3 linked regions of the Sus scrofa genome follow. The protein of the gene in region 1 purifies or fractionates together with the protein of each later gene. This does not show direct contact. Links are inferred from orthologs where the notes say so. Each region holds a gene or a part of one and is shown on either strand. Other genes may lie near its edges. The genes, in order: CUL9, GLMN and APEX2.

What was found.
Region 2: the proteins of CUL9 (region 1) and GLMN purify together in Homo sapiens (affinity purification with mass spectrometry; 3 studies listed by BioGRID and IntAct, counting the BioPlex papers as one, with this or other methods). This does not show direct contact. The link is inferred for Sus scrofa from reciprocal best matches to the Homo sapiens genes CUL9 and GLMN.
Region 3: the proteins of CUL9 (region 1) and APEX2 purify together in Homo sapiens (affinity purification with mass spectrometry; 3 studies listed by BioGRID and IntAct, counting the BioPlex papers as one, with this or other methods). This does not show direct contact. The link is inferred for Sus scrofa from reciprocal best matches to the Homo sapiens genes CUL9 and APEX2.

The regions. Positions count from the first base shown.
Region 1 is NC_010449.5:38,232,221-38,235,874, reverse strand, and holds part of CUL9 (cullin-9), read right to left. Parts: intron 1,005-3,654; coding exon 797-1,004; intron 1-796. UniProt on the Homo sapiens protein: Core component of a Cul9-RING ubiquitin-protein ligase complex composed of CUL9 and RBX1. The CUL9-RBX1 complex mediates ubiquitination and subsequent degradation of BIRC5 and is required to maintain microtubule dynamics and genome integrity.
Region 2 is NC_010446.5:124,790,861-124,794,514, reverse strand, and holds part of GLMN (glomulin), read right to left. Parts: intron 3,171-3,654; coding exon 3,140-3,170; intron 3,039-3,139; coding exon 2,949-3,038; intron 1,762-2,948; coding exon 1,720-1,761; intron 1,616-1,719; coding exon 1,542-1,615; intron 383-1,541; coding exon 298-382; intron 1-297.
Region 3 is NC_010461.5:47,868,369-47,871,221, reverse strand, and holds the end of APEX2 (DNA-(apurinic or apyrimidinic site) lyase 2), read right to left. Parts: intron 1,948-2,853; coding exon 1,039-1,947; 3' UTR 643-1,038; downstream 1-642. UniProt on the Homo sapiens protein: Functions as a weak apurinic/apyrimidinic (AP) endodeoxyribonuclease in the DNA base excision repair (BER) pathway of DNA lesions induced by oxidative and alkylating agents.

The sequences.
Region 1 (3,654 bases):
GGTGAGGGAGTACTGTGTACCAGTACCACTCAGATCAAAGCATTACAAAATACTCTGTCGCATCGAGAAAATCAGACACCCAGGAGTTCCTGCTGTGGCTCAGCAGTAACGAATCTGACTAGCATCCGTGAGGATACGGATTCAATCCCTGGCCTCACCCAGTGGGTTAAGGATCCAGCGCTGCCGTGAGCTGTGGTGTAGGTCACAGTCACAGCTTGGATCCCACTTTGCTGTGACTGTGGTATAGGCTGGCAGCTGCAGCTCCGATTCAACCCCTAGCCTGGGCACTTCCATATGCCGAGGGTGCAACACTTAAAAAAAAAAGCAAAACCAGACACCCTCGTTGTAACCAAAAAGCTATGCGAAATTCAACATACCTGAAAATTCAACCTGAACATCCCCCCACACCTCTTTCTTCTCTAGCGTTCTCCCACTTTGCAAATGACCACCTCCTCCACCCTGCTGCTGACTTTTTTTTTTTTTTTTTTGTCTTCTAGGGCCACACGCACAGCATGTGCACATCCGATGCTAGTTGGATTTGTTTCCACTGAGCCACGACAGGAACTCTGGCTGCTCACTTCTAAACCTGGGAGTCATTCCTAAAAACACCCTTCTCCCTTCCTCCAGACAGGTGTTCAATCTCCAGGACCATCCAGCTGGAACTCTCCTATCCGCCTGCACTTTCCATCCCAAAGCCTCCTCGCCTGAATCACCAGAGAACCTCTTCAGACCGGCAGGGCCCCCACCTGCCCCCAACCCGCACCCCACATGCTATCACCAGGCCCAGTGCACTCACCGCCAGCCCTGCTTGCTGCACCAAGACGGAGGTCTTGTATTCTTGCATGCAAACGAGCACAGCATAGATGCCACCCTCCCTGGCAAAGAGTGGGCGCCACTCGTGTTTGGTCATGAGCAGGTAAAGAAGGCGCAGGGCCAGCACCACCACCATCTTCTCTCCCACCTCGTTGGTTAGCAGCTCCACCAGCGTCTTCACTAGCTTCTCTCTGAGAGAGAGGAGACATCAGGGCCCCCCATCCGCAGAGCCATGCCTGACTCCCTGCTCACCCCTGTTCCCCAAGATCCAGGCCACCCCCACAGCTCTCCAACCTGCTCTCCTCGCCTCAGTCTCCCTCCCAACGCCCGCTCCCCTGAAGTCTGTTTCAGGCTCTTCCCTCATAAAGGAGGCAGGAGAGCAGGACAGTTAGGAACTCTGGTGCAACTTTTCAAAGAAATCTATAAATTCAGCATAATTCTAATCAAAATGCCTAAAAGGTTTTTAAAAAGAAAACATGGAATTCCCCAGTCGCTCAGTGGGCTTAGGATCCCACACTGTCACTGCGGTGGCTTGGGTCACTCATGTGGCGTGGGTTCGAACCCTGGCCCAGGAACTTCCTGCATGCCATGGGCGGAGCCAGAAGAAAAAAAAAACAACAGTCAGTTTGAGGCACAGGGAGTTTCTGTGGTGGCTCAGCGGTTAACGAATCTGACTAGCATCCATGAGGATGCAGGTTCAATCCCTGGCCTCGCTCAGTAGGTTAAGAATCTGGCACTGCTGTGAGCTGTGGTATAAGTCGCAGATGCTGCTCGGATCCTGCGTTGCTGTGGCTGTGGTATAGACTGGCAGCAACAGCTCTAATTCAACCCCTAGCCTGGGAACCTCCATGCGCCGCAAGTGCAGCCCTAAAAAGCAAAAAAAAAAAAAAGATTGAGGCATAGGAAGAGAAAATATGGAAGAAGAGTCAAGAAATGTTTGCAGGAGTTCCTGCTGTGGCACAATAGAAACGAATCTGACTAGTAACCATGAGGTTGCGGGTTTGATCCCCGGCCTCGCTCGGTGGGTTAAGGAACTGGTGTCGCCGTGAGCTGTGATGTAGGTCGCAGACTCAGCTCAGAGCTGATGTTGCTATGGCTGTGGTGTAGGCTGGGAGCTAAAGCTCCAATTTGACCCCAGCCCGGGAACCTCCATATGCCGTGGGTACAGCCCTAAAAAAACAAACAAAAAAATATATATATAAACTTATACTAATTAAAACTCTGGAAATAATACAGGGTAGCCCAACAGATCAACAGATGAGAAGGAAAAAAAGGGCCGCATCTCAGCCAGTGAGGACAGTTAGGACCATGCAAAACATGAGGCACAAACACTTGGCTATCCATCTGAAAAAAACGAAAGCCTGGAGCTCCGCTTCATTCTGTTTGCAAAACCAAAATGCAAACAAGTCTTAAAATAAATGCGAAAAACAAAATCATAGATATTTTTAGAAAATACAAGGAAATATTTTTAGAATCCTACAGTGGAATAGACCCTTTCAAAAGCTGGAAGCCATTAAAAAAAAAAAAAAAGATGAAAAATAAAGCAACACAAAAATCTACAACTTCAGCGTAATGAAAGACACTATCACAGAGTTAAGACAACAGCCACATGAGCTGGAAAGAGGATCTGGCAGAGGCTGATCTGAAGGGATGCAGGAAGCGCCCCCAGAGTCCCTAGGTGGCAGTGAGCATTACAGAGGAAAAATGTGTCAGAATTGACATCTTTCTCCACAGTGACAGAGATGCATATTGAGGAGGTGGCCTGGGAACAAGGGAAGAAAGGAGGCAAATTCTGGGAAAGAAGGCAAATAACGGTACTGAGAAAGTTCTGTTTTTTCTTATGAGCTTTAAGATTGCAGTCATGTGAACCAAATAGGTTTAAACTTATAGCCTCTTCTGTAGCCACGATTTATTTAAAACAAGTTCATACGCTACATATGAATAAATGTCCAGGTATAAATAAGGATGTTTACCAAAATGTTAACAGTGACTACAACTACATAAAAGGTTTTCAGATGACTGTCATCGTCATGATTTTCTAATTTTTTAAGGTGAGCAGGCATTATTTTACACCTGGAAAATTAAAACCATTTGGCGGGGGGGGGGACAAAATATGTGAAACATAAGTAACAAATTAATATCCAGAATGTCTGTAAATCAATAAGAAAAAGACAAAAGACCCAATTAAAAACCAGGCAAAGGATAAGAATATTTACAGAGGAAGAAACACAACAAAGGCATGAAAACATGCCTAGCTTTTTTTTTTTTTTTTTTTTTTTTTTTGTCTTTTTGGTTTTTTTTAGGGCCGTGCTCTCAGCGTATGGAGGTTCCCAGGCTAGGGGCCAAATCAGAGCTGTAGCCACCAGCCTACAGCCAGAGCAATGCAGGTTCTGAGCCGTGTCTGCGACCTACACCACAGCTCAAGGCAATGCCAGATCCTTAACCTGCTGATCAAGGCCAGGGATCGAACCCTCGTCCTCATGGATGCTAGTCGGGTTCGTTTACCACTGAGCCTCAATGGGAACCCCCAAACATGCCTAACTTCTCTAGAACTGAGAAATTAAAACAAGGAGATCACAATCATTTGAAATGTTGCCAATCTGATAGTTAAAAAATGACAACATCTAGTGCTGTATTCTGCTTTGGGTAGAATCAAGCCCAAGACAGCAGCAAGAATGAGGCAGTGCTATGCATACTAACACACACAGCCTTCCCAGACTCCATACATGCAGAGGGAATCTGCAGACACAGGCAGAGTGTGATCACATATACTAAAACACAAACTCAGAAAACACACTTATACACTTGAAGATCTGAAGGATACATGCTGGGATATGTGAC
Region 2 (3,654 bases), on another chromosome or scaffold:
TCCCACCATGACATAGCGGAAACGAATCCGACTAGGAACCACGAGGATGTGGGTTCAATCCCTGGCCTCCTTCAGTGGGTTAAGGATCCAGCGTTGCCATGAGTGTGGGTAAGTCTCGGATGTGGCTCGAATCCTGAGTTGCTGTGGCTGTGGTGTAGGCCAGCAGCTACAGCTCCAAATTGATCCCTAGTCTGGGAACTTCCATATGCTGAGGGTGCGGCCCTAAAAAGACAAAAAAAAAAAAAAAAAAAAAGTAATAAAATAAACTGATAATTGACATCTCAGTTATGCTCTTACCTTTAACGACATGTCAATTTGATTTTTGATATTTTGAATAATAAAGGCTTCCACACCTGAGTGATTACTTGTATTCAATAAGCACCTTTAAAGCAAAATTACAATACATTTGAAATTATCCTGGATGCATTATATTTAAATGATGATGAAAGTTTTACAAATTCAGATGGGCCATGTGTTATTTCAAGGAATACAAAAACCAGTGAAGACCAGTAGCAATTACAAAGTCACCTATTAAGGTTATTGCCCTTACTAACTGGCAAATTCTATTTGAACTGGGTCTTTCCAACAAGAAATTCCTATTAAACCAAATCTGAATCTCTTTATGCATATAGTTGCAATGAGTTGACATGACAAGAATGGTCACTAGTATAACAGCATAAAATTCCCCAAATTAGTCCCTGTTAGACTAGTTTGGTTAGACTAACTTAATTGCAAAGAAAGGTAACTCAATCTGTTAGTTCAAGAGGAGGGAGTTTTTGGTAGGAATGAAAGTAGGACAGACAGGAAAGCTGGCATAAGACCTAAGCATCAGTGGGGCCTTCATAAACCTACTCTGATCCCATCAATTCAAAGTGAAGAAAAGATGGATCAAGCACGCTAGGATCAGCCAATCCCAAAGAACACAGCCCTTGAACTCTGCCCCAGTGGGTCTTAACCCATTTTTAATTACCTACGTAGACACAAACTGAGGTCGGCAGGCCAAACCCGGCCTGCTGCCTGTTTTTTGACTGGAACACACCCCCGACTACAAACACAAAATTGAGCAGTTGCAGCGGAGACTGTGGGCCCCTCCAGACGCTGTTTACTCATGGTCCCCACAGAGACTCTGCCGATCTTTAACTCAAGAGGGTTGCCGCAGGCTTCCTCCTCAAACAGCGCTACCGACAAGCTCTACTGGTAAACTGAGCAGCCTGTCGAAACTTCTAACTCCGGAGCCATTCATTTCAACTGTGAATAATGGAGATTACTGACACCTGTAAATTCTACCAGGAGCCTCATCAATATTGGTTTAATTTTTTAAGACTTTTAGAGAGTTTCAATTAATTGAATTGAAACATATACTCTTATTCATGTAATTTATATATGCATCCATAATTTTTGATTAACCTTTCTCTACCCATCACAGATAAGAGAACTGATTATAATATATGGCTTCTGAGTAAAACATATCAAAATAAAATAACCTAGAATAATTAATGGCATTAATTTGGTTTTTAATCAACCAATTAATCAATACATACCTAAATAACGTATATTTGCCTTGTGAATCCAGCTTGTTAATATACAGCTGAAGCAAAGCTAAACTCTTTTTCCTCTACAATGGAATAAATAATATTGTTACATAAACTAAAGATGAAATTATTTCTTGAAGTTTCTCAGTGTAACCCATTATTATTTAGTCCGCAAACGTCTACATACCAATGTCTCAATGGGGCAGAGTGTCATTACTTTGACTAAGCCCTGGAAATAAAAACAAAATTTTAATTCAAATGTTAGGTTATATCGACTGCCAGGAAACAACTATATTATCCATTGCCAATGAACACTAAAAATTTAGAGAAAAGAGAGTAACAGACCTAAAAACAGAAGTAAATTTATTCCATTGTTATGTCTATAGGAAGCTAAGTACAATCCATTTTGTAAGTGATATTGAGAGGAATGCTACAAAGTGTATTGTCAGAAGTAAACAGTAATTTTCACTTATGTCTAGAATGGCAAAAAAGTGAAATCAAACATGCAGAAATATAATCCATTAATTTAAAATAATCAGACTTAATATATAAGAAAAGCGGAGTTCCCGTCGTGGCGCAGTGGTTAACGAATCCGACTAGGAACCATGAGGTTGCGGGTTCGATCCCTGCCCTTGCTCAGTGGGTTAAGGATCCGGCGTTGCCGTGAGCTGTGGTGTAGGTTGCAGATGCGGCTCGGATCCTGCATTGCTATGGCTCTGGTATAGGCTGGCGGCCGTAGCTCCGATTGGACCTCTAGCCTGGGAACCTCCAAATGTCACGGGAGCGGCCCGAGAAATGGCAAAAAGACCAAAAAAAAAAAAAAATTTATATATATATATATATATAAGAAAAGCTATATTTTTCTGTCTAAATAGTGGAGAAACCATTTTCTACATTGACATCTAAGGACCTACATCTATGATAACAAACAGTATCACTAATAAACAAGCAAAATAAATCACAGGAGGGAAAAACAAAACATCTTTGTAGTAATGAGCTATACACGCCTTGATGGAGTCCTGGGGATTTGAGTTATGGTAAAGGAGCTTCATTTTCCAAGGTTCCTACAGAACCAAAGTGTTTTAATTAAAGAAGAAAGTTGTATTTTTCCCCAGATGCTGTGCTGTCGACTCTCGCAGACAGCAGTCACATACAGCTATTTAAGTTTACATTAAGATAAATCAAATGTAGAATCCAGTTCCTTAGCCACATTACAAGTGTTCAGTGTGGCTCATGGCTTTCAAACTGTAAGGCCCAGATAAGTGAGGTTTTACCATCACAGAAAGTTCTACTGGACAGCTTGGCACCAGAGTTTTCAAAGGACATGGAGCAGAAAGCGGGAGAGCAGTCTGAAAAGCCCTAGGTTCAGAATAGGAAGAGGGCTTCTTTCAAGGTCAGGATACATGTTTCACTTGCCTGAGGTACAGTAAGGAAACTCTTGATTTCTAAGCACTGGTGGAGCAGACTGCTGTCCTCTGTTCTCAATAAACTGTTCTCCAACAGATCCTGCAGATCCAAATAGATGCAGAGATACATATATGGTGAAGTCGATAGCTGTATTTGTTAACATGACTATTTAAATTACAATAGGTGTAAGCAAATCTTACCAGTCCTTTGGACAAAACAGACTCTTCTGTTCTGGAAGAAAATATTGAAATTTATCAACATGGTTTGCTACACTGCTTCAGAATTATTGTTTTAGGAAAAATAAAGCAAAAATTATAATTTAAATACTTTAAAAATGCAGAGCACTAAGGAGAAATTCTGTTGAAAAACTGAATCAAAATTCTTAATCCACCTTTTTCTTTTCTTTGGCTACTGACACTGAAATCTAGGCCAAATTAGCCCACTCAGGGCTTACTTCCTGATATCAGATCAGTAGATCTTCAATAGCAAGTGCTAAGAAATCAATTTTACCTCATACGAAACTACTATTCTAGTTGATTAATCAGTAAAATCTTTCCAGCTTTTATATTTATGTAATTGATGCTTTCCATTTGTGATAATTTTTTTAAAAGGTTTACAATCATTGGTAACTAAATATTTAAGATCTGTGGCAAAAAAAAAAAATTATCTCAGGCTGCAGGTTCTTATTCTAACACCATACGAGAAAGTAAAAGTG
Region 3 (2,853 bases), on another chromosome or scaffold:
CCAAGAGACGGAATCAGTCCACACCAATCTGCTTGCAGGAAGGGAGTGGTTCCCCAAAACTATGGAGGTATTCTCCCGCAGAGAATGGAGGTCCTCCTCAATCCATGATCCTCTTTCCTTCCTACAGCACCTTATAGAAAAGGATTTATCAGTTCTGTTTCCCAAGGTGAGAAAGAGGCTTGGCTATAGCAAGAACTTGTTCAAGGCAATGCTCCCAAACTTTCTAGGTCATAACATACAGAAAACATTTGCATGGCACATTTGGGTGAAATAATAGTATTAGTTGCCTTGGAGGCAATTTTTCCTGACACTTGTGTAATTCCTGGTACTGCTCGGCAACTCTAGGGTTGAGGGACTCATTTCTTTCCACCCTGTAACCCATCTGTGGCATCTGTGTGACATACCAGTTAGAAAGCACTGTTTAAAAGTTTCATTGGCTGCCTCAGCTTTCTACCACACCCACCCACCTCCCTTGCTGATTCACCCTTAGCAGTGCAGGGAAACCTGACAACTTAACAGAGTACCTTTACAATGAGCATCACTCCTCCTTCCTCCACTCTCCTCTGGGAGTTCTATTATCAGGCTACAAGCAGTACTGAAATAACATCTCTGAGTCAACTTCATGAAGCACATTCAAAATGATATGGTGAGTAGCAACAAAGACGTGGACTTTATTTAGGCACAGCTACATTTCCCAACAAGTAAGAAAGTGGTTTAAAAATCACAACTTCCCCAGGCAACTGGTTCCTATGTACTTCTGACAGGAAGATGGGAAGTAGGGTGGGGATATGGGTTATAGCATTAAGGCCCAAGAAGCTCACTAGTGAGGAGGAGCTAGGCAGGAAGAACAGAGAGGAAGAGAGGCCTTGGAGGAAGAAAAAGAGGGAAGGGATGGGTCCTTGAGAAAGGTGGAAGAAGAAAAGGAAGAGGAGGAGGAGGAGGAAGGGAAGGAGGCCTTGGGGGATGATGAGGCAGCTTAGGATGAAGCTGGCCTCAGATCATGTGCAAGGTTGACCATGCCAGATATCCTGGCTTGGTTCAACTGGGCCTGCTCCAGAGGAAGAAGTTGCAGCGGGAGGAAGGGTCAGTGGGAGGACCCTGGGGCCTAGCACACATGTAGAAGTGGCGGCCCAGGTTGGGTCCTGGCTTCTTCACAGTTCGCATTACACACGGCTCCCTGTGGCCCCCACAGAGGGGTGTGGGTAAGGGCCCTCTCAGCAGAGACTTCCAGAACAAGCTCCGTACTTCCTTTTTATCCTTGGCCTCTGAAACCTTGGTGTGCCCCTCCACCACACTGGCCATCGCTTCCTCTTCTGAGGTCTCTGGGGTCACGAGGGTGCCAAGGCTAGGAAGATCCAAGTTAGAAGTGGTTTGAGGACGGCTGGAGGATGGCTGGAAATAGCTCATCAGTTTTTTTTGGCCTCTACTGGAGCCAGTCTGACTTGGCCGAGGCCTGGTTGATCGCACACGGGCTTTATTTTGGCGCAACTGTACCTGTGTTTGATTCCTGAGCTGCAGTGCAGACTGCTTGAACACAGGATCTTGTTCAAGACGAACTAGGAAGCGAAGAATCTTGAGCTGGGTGCCTGCAAACTCGGGGAGGAAGCGGGTACATAAAGGTGGACACTGTTTTGCTGGCACAGGGGACACGTTCAAGACTGCACCCACAGGGCAATGGTCAGAGCCCATCACCTCAGGCAGCACAAAGGAGGACTGAAAGGTATCCATAACCAGGGCCCTGTCCCCCAGCACATAGTCAATCCGGGAGCCATAGTTCAGATGGCGGGCACCAGTGACTGTCGACCAGCAGGTGAAGGCCCCTTTCTGCTTTGGCTGGAAGTAGCGGTAGCTATCAATGAAAGGTCCCATATGGGAACCAGCCTGGCACCTCAGGTTACTGAGCAAGCCATCCATCCACTTGCGCCCTGGGTCCTCTTCAAAGCATTCCTGGGAAGGGGGAGGGGAACAAAGAAAGAAGAACTAAATGCCTAGAACTGGAGGGGACTTAAACTAACTGCTTCATTTTACAGACAAGAAAATGTGGTTACTCCAAAGAAGACTGCTCAAAGTCACACAGTCTGGAACTGGCTGAGCTAGGATTCACTTTCCATCCTTACTGATTTAAAAGCCCATTGTTGTTTTTCCCTCTGCATCAGGCTCTATCTACCTTGCACTGGGCCATAAATCCCAAATTTGAAAGGTCATTATTTGCTTAATCAAGGCAATTCTCAGAACTGCTCACCAAGAGAATGGAAAGTAAGTTAAAATTGGTTACTGCTAGGAAATATGGCTGCAGTTAGGAGTTCAGAAGACTGTTGCCTTTTTATTTAAACACTCTGGTACTACTTTGGTTTATCTTGTATGTGTCAAAGACCTCACTGACCAACCTTCCCCATCCTGAGCTGAGGGGCTCCAAGGATTCATGTCTGAATACTTCCTTTGGCTCTGATCCCTAAGGCATCATCCATCCAATTCACACATCCAATTCACTCACCCACTCATTCAATGCAACACATTCAAAGAGACACTGATTACGCACCAGGCACAATACTAGGAACAAAGTGGGACTCTGAGCTTGCACTGGGGACCAACGAGGCTTCCTTTAAGGAAATGATCTTGAGCTGAGAAGTGAAGGTGGAGCAGGAATTACCCAGGCAGAGGGTGTTATAAAATGAGAGAATAACTTCTATGATGGGCCTATGGAGGGAGGGGGCAGCCTACCCAAAAGACTTGAAGGGCAACCAGACTGTCGGCCAGAATACTAGCAGAAGATGACTACCATAGTCCACGCACTTAAGTAAGAGATGATGGTCACTTGGTCACTCAGACTAGGGTGCTGCCAGAGGAAACAAA